2 linked regions of the Alligator mississippiensis genome follow. The protein of the gene in region 2 purifies or fractionates together with the protein of the main gene of each other region. This does not show direct contact. Links are inferred from orthologs where the notes say so. Each region holds a gene or a part of one and is shown on either strand. Other genes may lie near its edges.

Region 1 (7,256 bases), on a different chromosome or scaffold from region 2:
AATATATTTGGCAAGCCAGATGATTATCTGGAATACTAAAGAGAAAGATTAAGTCTAAAAGAGGACCAAGCAGTAAAACAGACTTGTCAGAGTTCCTTAAATACATTCAGTGGTTGAACAAAAGGACAAGTTACAGTAGAAACCTGCAGTCTGGGAGACTTCAACCTTAGAACAAAAGGGCGGAGTCTTCTCCAAGCACTTCTCCAGTCAATGTTGATACTGGAGAAGGGGGATGCTGAGTAACTCCATTCCTTTCTCAGCCTGTTCTACATTCTGGCTCACTCATTCTGTACCTATATGTTTACACATGGTTGGGATGCCCACACTGGTTTTTTCTAAAAGTACTGGATATGTTTTATTAATAAAATATTTTAGTGCACTATGCGCTGGCACACATGCTTCAGAAAAAGAAGTAGCACTAAGTTCTGTACAAACATTTTAATAAAGAATTTTAATCCATGTAAATTCAATATCATAAAACCATAACAACGCTGTAAATTGTTTAGCAAACCTTACCATGTACATTACAACTTAACACAACACAGCATCATCATATTCACAACCCCCTGCAATGCATATATGTAAATAAGGCATCCCTGAAGTCCCTTGCTTGCTTTAACTCAGCCCCAGTGAAGACAAATGCACCCTCTGGTTAAAACAGTTACTCAAGACTCTTTACACCATTGGCTTTGCACAGAATGTCAAAATAATGCAGATTGCATTTTGTCAATGGTTTGGTAGGCAACACCTTCCTGCCTTGACAGCCTTTAAAGTGTACACTACACTACCACTCTGCAACTGTAAAGTATGCAATTAAACCTTCTTTTCCTAGGTCCTCATGGGAAAGCCATGGCAGGGTGCCCTAGAAGAGTGGGTATACAAACCCTAAACATATTTTTCTAAGTCCCTAGTTACTCAACAAGTTAATATCAGATCTCATTTATCTCAAGTCTATCTATAGAGATGCAGAACAATCCACACTTTCCATTTGGGATTTATGTCCCGTCCCCCCCACATTTGCCCATCACAAGTGCCATTAATGACCACAGTACACAATCTGGGAAGATAATTTTAGTTATCATTCCAGTGGGTATAACCAGTACACTTATCTGTGGGTGAACACAGTGTTCAAACACCTCAAACATCTGCTAGCCCAACCTGAAAAGTTGGCTTGCCAACATTAGACTGATTAACCACAGGCCTGCAGCTGCCCAAGGTTGCTACAGCAAACCACTTCTGGACCAGCAATGCCTCATTTCACGTCCTGACATACTCCACATGTGCCTCTGCAAATGCATGCTTTCTAATGCACAAATTCAGTAGCCACCACTAGTTATCAAAGATCAGCATAATAATACAGTCCAAGAGTGCTGTATGTCCTGTACCAAGAATACCTGTCTATGCATGGGGGAATTTCCAGCTGATGTCAGCAAGCATCAAGTACCACAACTGCATTAGGGCGGAATCCAACCACAAATCTGCCACAACATTAGCACAGCAAGGGCCAACCTTTTTGTCATACATGCCACAAGTTAGCCCCACACCCTCCCCAAGTCTGAAACTAATCCCCTTCCACTGCCTGGTCTGCTTTCTGTCTCCTGTGCAATCTACCACATGCCATATGCACCAGCTGGCCATGCCACTTGTGGCATGTATGCCAGGGTTAGCCACCTCTATTCTAGAGAACAAGAACTGCTACAGAATTTCCACCACTGTTTCAAAGCACCCTCTCTTGGTATCATGCAATAACAATACACAGTGACAAGCAGGAAGAGCTCTTCCTCTGGTGTTGAATCTGTGGCGTGGCTCCAGCTGGAAGGAACATGAAGCAAAGCGTATAGAGCCAGAAACACCTTGGCTAGATGTGCTGGCAGGCAAGGAACATTTCAGTACAGGGCCCCAGGAAGGACAGACATGTTCTCCTATGATACACTATGAATTCATCTCTCTACTGTAGGGAGTAATAAAAAATGTTCAATACTGCCTTAGCAACTGTAACAACCAATGCTTCAATATAGAACAATGTGTACATGGCCACCTGCATACAGAGCATGCTCTGCAGCATGGATGCACGTAAAAATGTACTTGACAAAACAAGAGAGTACATGAACATTGAGACAATCACTCCAGAAATATCCTTAGCGTGCTTAGTTTCAGCCTTGGGTTAAACTCAGCCTGTTACATAAATTGCGATTTGTTCAGCAGTAAAGCTGCAGGCATCATTTTTTGGTAACTAGGAACATTACTCCAAGGCAAACATAGTAAACTTAGGATCAAGGAGTTGTAGCCTTACAAGATAATTTACCTTATTGAAGCTTTAGGTTAACCCCCAATTTAACACTTCAGCAAAATGTTTCTAACGTAGCTGCTGTAGTAACACAACTATCAGATAAAAACAAAAAAAAAAGAGCATATATACTGGTGTTGTGCTGATATTCTTCAGTTTGCAGACAACTCTTTGCTGCTGCATGCATCTTCACGAAAAAGCAGAAACTGTACTCCTCATGATGACATTGAGATGCAATTCTGTCAAGTCATTTCATAGACACACAAACCATACTCACTAGCAGTGATAATTGAAAGGATAACTGAAACCATGATGACTCCAAGCAAGTCAGTCATTCTGCCTCAGACCTCACCCAATGCCACAGTACGAGCGTCTATAAATACCTTCCAGGAGAGTTCAACTGTGACTTGGTTGTGAAGCACTGCGGTTAACACTTCCATAGGCCCTCATATTGAAATGAAATACATAACCTCTATTTGTTGCAAGGAGGTAACCCATGTGATTTTTTTCTTTAAAAGAAGGATTTAATACGAGCCCCCCCCAGTTTGGACAACAGCTCAGTGGAAATCTTTATCACTTTCCGTTACAGCCAGTCACTGACCACCAAGTGCCAGCTTGGGATGAGTGACTTTTGCTTTGGTTCATCCAGGACTTGGTCACAAGAAGTGGGGCAGCTCTTTAAACCAAAGACGCTCCAGCTTAAGGTGAAGGTTAAGGAAGCAGCTCACCTTTTAGTGGTGGCTGAAGGCTTCTTTCCCATAAAGACCCTCGTAGCAGCAAACAGGAAAGCACAGGGAGCGGCGCAGCAGCGGAGCCGGCTGGCGACTCCCCCTCTCTGGCACCACAATTTCCTCCCCTCCTTCCACAGCTGTCAAGGACCCTGTCGGGCAGGGCCCGGGGAGACGCCTGCTCTCGCGTTAAGGCAGGACCAGACCCCGATTTCAACAGGTGCAGCCCCAGGGCCCCCCCCGCGGCCCGGCTGAAGGACACTGCGGCGGGGCCGAGGCGCACGAAGGGCCCCGCGGGCGGCAGGCGCTGCCTCGGCGGGGACCCGTGGGGCCGAGCAGCCCCTCGCCTCGCCGAGGCCGGGGAGGAAAGGGCTCCCGGCCCCGCTGCGTCACCGCGCCCCGGACAGCGGCCGAGCCCGGCCCGGCGCGGAGCCGCCCCCACCTACCTCACACATCGGCGCCGGCTCGGGCGGCGGGTATCGGGTCGGCCCGCCAGGCCCCGCGCCCTGCCCCGCGGCCCTCCCGGCCGCGCCGAGAGCAACCCGCGGCAGGCGCAGCCCGGGCGCTCGCGGTTTTGTTTGCTGCGCAGCCCCCGCCGCTGCCGCCGCCGCCGCTCCCTCCCTCCCTCCCCAGGGGCAGCGCGACACTTGCCGCTGCTTTACGGCAGCCCGCAAAGCGCAGCCGCGCCGGACAGCGCTCCTCCTTCCGCCAGCGCCCCCGGGCGGCGCCTGCAAGGGCGCGGCCTGCGCGGCAGCGCCCCCTCCCGGGCGGAGGTGGCCATTGCCCGGCCCCGGGTGCTGCAACAGTCGCGGCACAGAGCCGGGCCGAGCGTGAGCCGCGCAGAAGCTTTTGAAATAGTAAATGCTGAATTAATTGAATCTGCTCTTTGGTTCCTGGTCTTTCCTGGAGCACTTGCTTCACCTTGGCCGTCTCCTCTCCCGTGCCCAGGGCTGGAAACTTGTCTGCATAAAACGTAGCTCGGACATCGGAAGACCGGTGACAAAGCCAAGCGCGATAAGGAATCGGGCGTGATGCAGAGACAGGGCGGGGCACAGGGCCTGCTTCCCTCTGCATCAGCCTTTGGGTTACTCTAGTTCAGTGCTGCCAGCGCTCAGGATCGTTGGCCTTGTTCTTAAAGTCTACGCTTCGGGAATGCGAGACTTGGCTCTTTCTTTTATATATTATATATACTGTTATAAATACAATATAATGATATATATATAAAAGAAAGTCACATTCCCAAACGCCAAAAATCCTGGGAGTTGGCAATACTGCAAGTTCTAGGGGCTCCGGCAGCACCGCCGAGAGGTGATACTGTTGTAGACTTGCTTTCAGGAAGTAATGAGCAGGAATCCCACTTTTCTTGGTTTAAAAATCGCAAACTCTCTGATAAAATATTGCAAATTCTTTGATTAAAAAGCCCCCAATCTGTATTTTTCCATGATTAAAATGAAACACCGCTATATATATATATATATATATATAAATTGAATGTTTTATTGATAGGCTTACAATTTTAAAGCAATTTGGAAGCCTACCAGTGCTCAATCATAATAAATTCTAAATATCTATACATTTTGGCATTTGATTTGGGTTTTTTTAATCATGGAAAATTAGAGCTCCCCATGCCCCTCCACTCACCAGGACATAGGTCCAGCTGTAGCTATCCTCCCCCACAAAACACTGCTTTGTAGTGCTGAGCAGTCCTGATATGCCAGTGGCCTGCCCATGCCATTGTCCCTTACTCCTGACCCACAAACCCCTGGGCCCCGCTGATGCCCCTCACTCCCAACCCACAGCCCCCCACTCCTGCCGGTTCCCTTCCCCACCCACAGCCCCCTGCGCCTCCCAACCCTGCCAACTGCCAGGGCTACGGGACCAGGGATGATCCACAGCCTCCTGTACCCCACAACACTGCCCAAACCCTAGCTGCCACCCATGGGAGGCAGCAGCTGCTGTGGCAGAGCAGAGCACGGACACAACTCCCCCTTCCCCACAGGCAGCACTATCTGAGTGGAGCCCACTGGAGGACAGGGGGCAGATACAGGCTCCCCGCCCTGCTCCACCCCCCCGCCCCTCCATGGGACCTGGCACAGCAGTACAGAGCGAGGAGGCTCGTGCCACTACCAGGAGCTCCACACTGCCATAGCGGCAGCAGCAAGGAGCACATCTCCATGCCACCAACCTTGTTACTGCCAGGTGAGGCAGAGGGCTCCTCGCTATGGTGGTGCAGGACTCCAGGTGGTGGCATTGAGCTTCCCAGCCCCATTCTGCCCTGCTTTGCCAGGTCCCGCCTGTTGGGCTCTGGAGACCACAGGGAAAGGGCAGCAGGGCAGGGAGCCTGAGCTGGCAGTGGGCAGCCTGCATCTGCCCTGCACACAAATCTGGGGAGCATTTGCCCCCTTTCCCCTCCACCAGGAATGCACACAGCATCAGGGTTTTTCTCCTTGAAGTGAGAAAATCTGGGTTTTACCAGATGTGACGGGCTAGCTGGCAGTGACCTAGCCCAGGGGTTTTGAAAGGGCAAAAGATGATTGGAGGACTTGGGATTCCCTTTCCTCACCAATCTGGTAATGATTTGGCCCATGGGGTTTTGAAGGGGTAAAAGACCATTGGAGGACTTGGGATTCCCTTTCCTCACCAATCAGGCCCAGAGATTCACCCCTCATGTCCCCTGATTGGCCCCTTGGGTCACCTGGAGGGGGATAAAAGGGGCAGCACAGCTGATTCAAGAGGAGACCAGTGAGGGACTATGAGGAAGGAGCTTTGAAGAGCTGGGCCAGCAGGGTGGAAGCAGTTGCCCCAGAAGAGCCTGAAGGAGCAAGACCTGCAGGCAGCAGTGGGACCCTCAGCAGCACGGTATGTGGATGACAAGAGAGGCATCCTGCTGGGCTCCAGGACCCCCTACAAGAGGCTGTAGCTAGCAGGAGGATCTGAGCAGCAACCTGAGGGGTCCCAGCTTGGCTTCCAGCTCTTCCACTAAGAGGCCAGACAGCTTGATGTGAGGCCGGGGCTCCAGGAAGGTCAAGACCCCTAGCAGTTTGGAGCTATACCAGCAGTGGTGGCTGTATAGCAGTGTTCTTGCCTATCCTGTGGGAGAACTGAGTTCAAGTCCCAGCTTTGTTGACTTGGGGTGAGTGAGCTAACAAGGAGAAATTCTTCTTGCAGTAGACAGGAGCCACTGCATCTTCCCCCCTTTCTCCCCCTCCAGTGACCTAGGCCCTATATTTCTTTGTCCTCTGACATTTTGTATTTTGTGCCTTTTTTTATATTTCCCCAACCAGTATTGTTTGCTCTGTTGTTTGTGTTTTATATTTTGTTACCCCTGTCTTTTGCCAATGACTGTAAGTGTCTAACCTTTGTTGAATCCTGCCCCTTGGGGCATTGTGGTGTCCACTATACCCCCTGATTATACCTGTTATGTTCCCTCATTAAAAGGTATGTGGTTAAGTCCCCAGTGGTGGTCTGGCTCTGCTCTATAGTGGGAGGAGAATCCCTACACCTCCCACAGCACTTGTGCACCTGCTCTGATCCCTTCAATTGGAGAGGGGGTACCTTTTGGAGTACTGCCTGGGTTACACGCATTTTTTCCATGGCAAACAGAAAACCTGGATCCCTGGTAATGACAACATTATAAACAAGCTATAGAACAGAACATTGGCTCATGAGTTGATTTAACTGTAAATTTAAAGAGAAGCTTTTAAAAACTTGGTCTGTACCTAGGGGTTTCAATCATAAAAAAGCAAACCTTGGTAAACAAAGGGAACTACTTAGTGACACTACCTAGACTGAAGAGTTTATGGATATGGAGAAAGCCTGGAATCTCTTTAAGCACAGGCGGCAGAAAGGTGGGGGGGCTCAGCCCCCCCAAAGGCTGAGCCCCAGATGCATGGGGGGGCACACAGGGGCACATGCAGCAGCTTACAAAGTGATCAAAGAATGGAGAAAAAAGTGATTCAGGTGATCACTCTTTTTCCCCATTCTTAAATACAGCTACAACTTTTGCTATTTTCTAGTCAGTCCTTGATTTGTTAGATTTCTTAAAACTGTCCCCAACTTGTTAGATTTCTTTAAAATCTTTGGGACAATTTCACATGTCAGTTTTCATAGCTCTGGAATAAGGCGTATCCAGTTTCTGCTCATTAAGCTCTTTGAATTTTGCTACATGTTGCTTGTGGTAACTTCTGTTTCAATACTCTCATTTCCATTAGCCATTGTGCCTCTGTGCTGATGAACATCAT
Region 2 (6,907 bases):
TCCAAAGCATGGCTGCAAACACTCCTCCCCACTTAATGCAATAGCTGTATGCAAAAGTGAACAGGAAAATTCTTCCAAACAACAAAAAGAACCCCAAGAGGAATGGAAACATTCCAAAAACTCAAAGTTTAAGCTCTTCTCAGAAAAATTATTAATAATCTACAAACACAACTACCACAGCAATGCCTCAAATCAGTAACACATTAGTTACCCTCTATTTTCCAAATCCTTCCTCATAACCTCTTTTTCAAGCATTTCTCATTCTTCTTTTATAAACAGTTAACATTTATCTTATATTTATTTGTCTTATTTAGATTATGATATCACTGTAGTAGAACTAACTTCACGCTTGTGAAATACTGTGTAGACTTACAGTGTTACTGAAATAGGCAGTCTCTCTCATTGGTGTGTCAAGGTGCATTGCACAGTAATATGAGAAAGGCCTTAAAAGCAATTCAAGTAATATCTTATACATTACATGTTTAACATAAAAAAAAGATATTACCACGTTCTAAAAGCAGCCTTTGGCCTCTCACCAGCATCAATGCACTATCACCTTAAAAATCATGACACGCTATTGGGTGCTTAGCAAGATAACTGGCTGTATACCATGTGTACATATACGCACAGGAATTTAAGTCCGTGTCTGTCAGTTTAAGCTAGCACTTGATTTTTCAGGCAGCTTCCTGCTTATTGCAACATGCTTGGTATAAAACAATCACACAATGTGTAGGTCAAACAGGAGGACAGACTGTCCATGAAACCTCTACATTTTCCAGATATTGCCAGTTTAAAAAAGCAAAAGAAACAGAATGAAATGCAAAAACCTAGAACTCTTGGTTCAGAAATGATACCTTTTATTATCCTAGTTGGTCTAATAAAAGGTATCATTTCTGAACCAGGAGTTCTAAAGCTTTTGCATTTCTTTTAGTCTCAGACCAACATGACTATCAAAAACATCCAAAGAAACAGAACTACGTTCTGAAAGTTTTTGACCAGTTTATGACAAAAGCTCCAATTAGAAAAGAATTCTTAATACTAAGCCTTTTACATTGAAATTGTTGAGACTGTATTATGTATGCTGCAGATCATTCACACACCTAGCTTATACTTGATCTGACACTGGCTCGTATTTAGGAAAATGAACAGCATGCTTCAAAAGTATTCATCTGTTAACAGCAAGTAATCCAAAAGTTTTATCAGATTAAACTGGACTTACTTTGGACTGAGTTCTTTTCTGATTTTTCACGCTAAATTTCTCCTTCATTTCCTCCAAGAGATGCTTCAGCTCCCTCTCTTCTGATGTTCCTAAATATTTTTGGTTAATGTGAAGATAGTAATGCCATTTGGCTGATTCAAAACCCCAGTGGCAGGTCCTTTTATCAGGAGATCTATGTGAATGCATCACAAATGTCTGTGGAGAAAACATTCCATAACACTCCAAACACTGGATACAGGCAGCATCTGGCTGAAGATAGAACTGAGGTGCAAACAAACCCTGGCACTTGCCCAAGCATTCATGCTCTACTTCAAAGGCACTGCCAGTTTCTTTAAGTTGAGCCAACGTGTTTTTAGCAGGAAGCAGACTGCCATTTTGAGGAAAAGTGCGAGGACGTAGTAAAGCATTGCATAATCTTTGCGCATCAGTCAGCGTGATCAACCCGCAGGATGGGGCATTAAATGGAAGGATCCCCAATACCTTTAGGATATGAAGCTGATCAGAAGTGCATCTTGAACAGTATATGTACAATTCATCACAAACTGCATTAATTTGTTGGAGGGAAAAGTCTCGGAGCACAGAATTCAAGACTTGAGGTAGGCAGAGTCTCTTTTCTCCACCAACTTTAAAACAGGAAATAGATTCCCCCTCCAGCGTAGTCTGAGTGAGCTCCGTGGAACTATCTGAAGGGACGAGCAAGGGGCCAGGAAGTATCTGCGGCGATGGAAGAGGCAAGAAAACGGTGGGAGACATGCTTTCCTCAGAATAGCGAGCGGAAAAAGCGGCTGGTCCACCCAGCGAACTCTGGCTACTTAAGTGGAACTGTGCCAAGGTGTGTTTCAAACCAGGGTTTAAACTCAGGCGCTCAGATACAGCAGCGCTGTCTGACTTGACATTTTCTCTATCCACCTCCATGGGAGTTTCATCATATTCATCCAAGTTTTCCTTCTTGATGGTGGGCATCTTACTCACCCCAGTTGGGAACTCAGTATTTCCATGCATTTCTGTCATTGCTTTCTTTACCGGAGGGCTCCCATCCTCCCGCATCCTATTCACTTTCTGGTCGGAGCCAGGGCGCAGGGGGAAGTTTGCCTGCGGGCCTTCCATCGCCGACCGCCACGCGTTTACAGAAAGAAACCGTGAGGGCGCATCTCTCTAGCTTCTCTGTCAAACAAATGTCAGTTGTGGCTTATCTGAACTCCCTCAGACACGCAATCAATGCCACGCCAGGCCAGGCCAGGCCAGGACAGCGCTATGCCGGGGCCTCCGGGAGGGCAGCCGAGTGGGAAGGGACGGTGTTACAAAGCCCTGCTGGGCTCTTAGGCAGCGCAGACAGCAGGGCACGTTTCCTGCCCGCAGACCGCTGGCTTCTCCATCAGGCACCAACTCATCTGGGAGGCGGGGGGAAAAATAAGGAGAAAGGGAAAAGTCGGTCTCCCAGCAGGCTGCCAAGACCCGGCCCTGCTGCCCCCTCAGCCTGGCGGCCCGTTTGCCCCCATCCTCCCCGAGGGGGGGAGGGAGGGCCGGAACCTCCACAGGCCGCGGGACACCCCCTCCCCTCCCCCCGGGACACCCGCCCCGCCCCCACCCGCAGAACGCGCCCCTCCCCCCGCGCCGCCGCCCGGCCCCTCCCCCACGCCACCACATCCCCTCCCCCACGCGGGCGGGCGCCCACGACCCCCGGGCCCTACCTCTCCGTTGTGCGGGCTCGGCTCCGCTGCCTCCGGAGCCGCGCGGGGGCCTCCCTCCCTCCCTCGGCAGTGTCGCTCTCGCTCGCCCGCGCGCGCCGCCGCCTCCCCGTGACCTCACTGCGGAGACGCAGACAGCGGCGGCGGCGCGCGGCCACGAACCCGCCGGGTGCGCGCTCCCGCCCCGCCCCCCGTCTGCGGCGCCCCTCCCCCCACGGGCCCCCGCCCCCCTCAGGACAGGACGGGACGTGCCCACGCCCACGCGCGGCGTGGCCTGGCCTGGCCTGGCCCGGCTCGGCCCCGCCTCGCCTCACCTCGCCTCACCCGGCCCGGTCGGGCCAGCGCGGGGATTCCCTGTGGCGGCGGCCGGGCGCAGACGGGGCGGAGCCGGCAGTGACTCAGCCGGGCGCCGGGAGCCCTTCCGCGGGGGCCGCTGCCCCAGGGAAACCCCGGGCCCGGCGCCGCGGGGGCTTCCGGCCTCCTGCACGCGGCCCAGCTGCTCGGCCGGGGCCGGAGGAGCCCGGGGAGCTCAGAGCAGTGACCGTGCAGTTGCCATTTCCCCGCTCTGCCGTGCCCGGGCTCCCACGTGTTTAAAGCCCTGCGGCAGAGAGAAGGGAGCCGGTTGTGTGGGCCCCCCCCGGGTCCCTCTTCCCCTGGTCGGGTGCAGGGAGCCCTGCCCCTCGCTCGGTGTCCGGTCCCCGGTGAATCCGTGGCTGCCCCCACGCCCGGCTCCACCAGGGCCTGCTCTGACGAAAAGAAACGTCCCTGGCTTGGTTGAAACCCGTGTCTATCGCCCTTGGGGGGGGGTCACCACAGACTACGCCTAAGGGGGCTGTGAAAGGCGAGGGTGATCAATCAAAAGTGTGCAAATACCCACGCTTGCCATTCAGGGGGGCCATGCTGCTGCTCAAAATATTTTGAGGGGCCCACAAATGAAAGAAGGTTGAAAACGGCCATTTTCAACGTCTTGGGGATTCATTTTATTGTGTGTCCCCTCTTTCTCCTACTGCGAGAGACTGTAAATTGACTTCACTGTTTAGTATTTCGTAAATTCTGATCACGGCCTGTAGTTTCTAAAGTGAAAAGGCCTGGTCTCTTTAGTCTCCCTCCTACGGTAGCCCCTCCATGCTGCTAATCATCCTCGTTGCCCTTCTTTGGACCTTGTCGAGTCCTTCTATATCCTTTTTAAGAACTGGGCACAGTATTCAAGGTGTGGACGCACCATAGATTTATAAATGGGCATGCTCATATGTTTTGTTTTGTTTGTGATTCCCTTCTTAATGAGCCCTAACATTTTGTTTGCCTTTTTGAGGGCTGCTGAGCTCAGCTGATGTTTTTAGCAACCTGTCCACAATGATTCCCAGATCTCTTTCCTGTGTGGTAGAAGCTAATGTCAAGCCCATCACTGTATAAGTATAGTTAGGGTTATTTTTACCCAGGTACATCATTTTACACTTAATTATACTGAATTTCACCTGCTATTTGGTTGCTCATTCACTCAGCCATGGCAGATCCTTCTGTAGTTCCACATACTCCACTTTGGCCTTTATCTTGAGTCTACAAAGGTTGAGAACCTGGGTCTAAACATACCAAACAGGCACGGGGCAGGGAAGGAGTATGAGAGAGAAAAAATGAGCCATGTGATGGTAGCAAGAATCAGGATCCTTTCATTTATTTCTGGGATGTCTTTACTTACAGGGAGGCTTTACTTAGTCGGGTAGAAACTAAGGGCAGGGGAAAGGAGAAGAGCAGAATTGGAGTGAAGGTGAAGGGAGAACTGGAGCAAACATAATCAGCACAGGGCAGAGAACATCCTTTCTAAACCCCCTGCGATTCTCTGCCTCTTCAAGGTCCAGCAGACAATGTGGTGGGAAATTGTGAGGGTGCCTGTAACAGGGTATTCCTGCTCCTGTCACTAGAAAGGCCTGAGAGAATGAGGGACCCTGGGCCAAGAAGGACAGTAAGGAGCAACAACCCAGGTGGACTGGGCCCAGGACTGATAAGGCCAGGTGGCTCATGAAGGGATTAGCTGTACCTGGTGCAGAAGGCCCTGTCCAGTACCTGAAAAGAGACTGGGCTGGGGAGTATTAGTCCAGTCTGACAACATAAGGGAAGCTTCTGCCTGCAATAGGGAGAAGCTCTTTGGAGTGGGCAGCTATTAGAGGCTGGCCACCCAGGGGAAGTGGAGGAGTCTCTTGCAAGAGTTAGGGCCTACAGGCAACATTTATCCTGAGAAGGAAACTATTTGGGTTATGAAGCAGCTGTCTCATGTTTTTGTTGTTTGTACTGCAGGACTGAGTTGTGGCTACAGGGAGTGGAGGAGGCCATGAACAGGGATGCCTGGGTGGCATTCCCCTGCTACTTGCCCTAAGAGCTGGCCCTGAGCTAAACAAGTGGAGGCTGGTGCTGAGATTTTCAACTGCCAAGGTAGGGCTCCCTAGGAGGGCTGATAACTGGCAGTTGAGATCTTAAATGGTAGACCAAGGCTGGGCATGTAGCCAGAGAAAAAGGGGACCATGATTATGACAGCAGAGGGTCTGACAAGTCCTCAGAAGCCTTGGAAATGCTCCCTTAAAAGGGAACCTTGTCTGCCCTTAAAAGGGAAACACTTGAAGGGGAGTACAGGCTCAATGGGGCAACTAGCAGTTACCCCTGATACCAGGGACTGCCTCTCTCAGCTACAACCAAGTAGCATCAAAGGTGTGGCAGGAGAAAAACCAGAGGTGAAGTGGGGCTGGGAGTAGAGGAAAGTCTGGTGTTGGGGTACCAGTACCCAGAAGGGTGTTATAATGCCCCAAAACTCATTTCACTAATTTACCTTGCAGTTTTCAGGCTGTACCTACCAATGGAAGGAAGTTCAAAAAGTGAACAAAAATTAATCACGAAGGGGAAGAAGGAGCAAAATATGGTTAGTTAGTTGTTTTATTCAGTCAATGTACTATAGCTCATTTAATTAGGGTGGTACAATACTTTGTTTTTCTCAGCTGCAGGACAGAAGATGTCTTGCCCCCACTCTATCAAGACCCTTCACAGTTTATACCCACTGTACCAATTCATTTTATTTCAGGCATTGTCACTCTTCCCCCACCCCCACTTTACTCATCCAATGGTGCTAGGATTTTGGCCCTGTCCCCTTTCTTTGTACTTTTGGCTATATTGTCTGTTATGGGCTGTCCACTAGGAGTGGACTGAGAAACAGGTAAAGAACTAAGCTATTGCAACTTTAAATTTGTTTCATTCAAGATTATAGCACTATAGAAGCAGGTAGTTTAAACTACAACAACTACATATTCAGGTGACACCTAGTCTGCCGCAGTAAGTCTACCTTCTTAAAATGGTTTAGTTAATATTCCATCTTAAGACTGTGGACAGATGTCAAAAGCAAATTAACTAAAGATAAGACATCAAGTGCATATGAATTAAAAGTGCTTTAAACCTCTCTATGAACTGACTGCCCAGAGGAGTTTTCCATCTATTGACCTCTCTGTGAAATCCTATGAAATATGAACTTTCATTTCTACCCAGGAGAACTTTAACAATCTTTTCTCCAATGCCTGACGAAGGGTGTTTGTACCCAAAAGCAGGCAATTAAAGATTTTTATTTTTTTTTGCAAAACATCTTGTTGGTCTAATAAAAGATATCATCTCTACTATGAGTCCTGATTATCTTTTCCTCAAGACTAATGCGGCTACAAAAATCTGGATACTTTAAACCTCTCTGTGTATACTCTTATTCAGAGACAAAGGGTCTACAGCAAATAAAGGTCAGTTTATTCTGGACTGCAGAGCTGTCCCCAGACAAAATAGATTTTTGCCTCCATATTTCCATAATTAACCATGCCAACTAATTGGAAGCTGATCATCACTAATCAGTGCTAGAAATGCTGCCATTTCCATGCTGCTGCCCTGGACAAGTGCCTGGTTTGTCCATAGGAGGTGCAGGGCAGACTCGAACAAGATTATCCACAAATTAGTTCAATGTTTTTTAACTTATACACGT

What was found.
Region 1: the proteins of SKIL (region 2) and RNF111 purify together in Homo sapiens (affinity purification with western blotting; 3 studies listed by BioGRID). This does not show direct contact. The link is inferred for Alligator mississippiensis from reciprocal best matches to the Homo sapiens genes SKIL and RNF111.

Annotation. Positions count from the first base shown.
Region 1 is NC_081834.1:38,758,400-38,765,655, forward strand, and holds the start of RNF111 (E3 ubiquitin-protein ligase Arkadia), read right to left. Parts: upstream 3,101-7,256; 5' UTR 3,048-3,100; coding exon 3,016-3,047; intron 1-3,015. UniProt on the Homo sapiens protein: E3 ubiquitin-protein ligase. Required for mesoderm patterning during embryonic development. Acts as an enhancer of the transcriptional responses of the SMAD2/SMAD3 effectors, which are activated downstream of BMP.
Region 2 is NC_081830.1:74,864,815-74,871,721, reverse strand, and holds the start of SKIL (ski-like protein), read right to left. Parts: upstream 3,059-6,907; 5' UTR 2,911-3,058; intron 2,611-2,910; 5' UTR 2,327-2,610; coding exon 1,220-2,326; intron 1-1,219. UniProt on the Homo sapiens protein: May have regulatory role in cell division or differentiation in response to extracellular signals.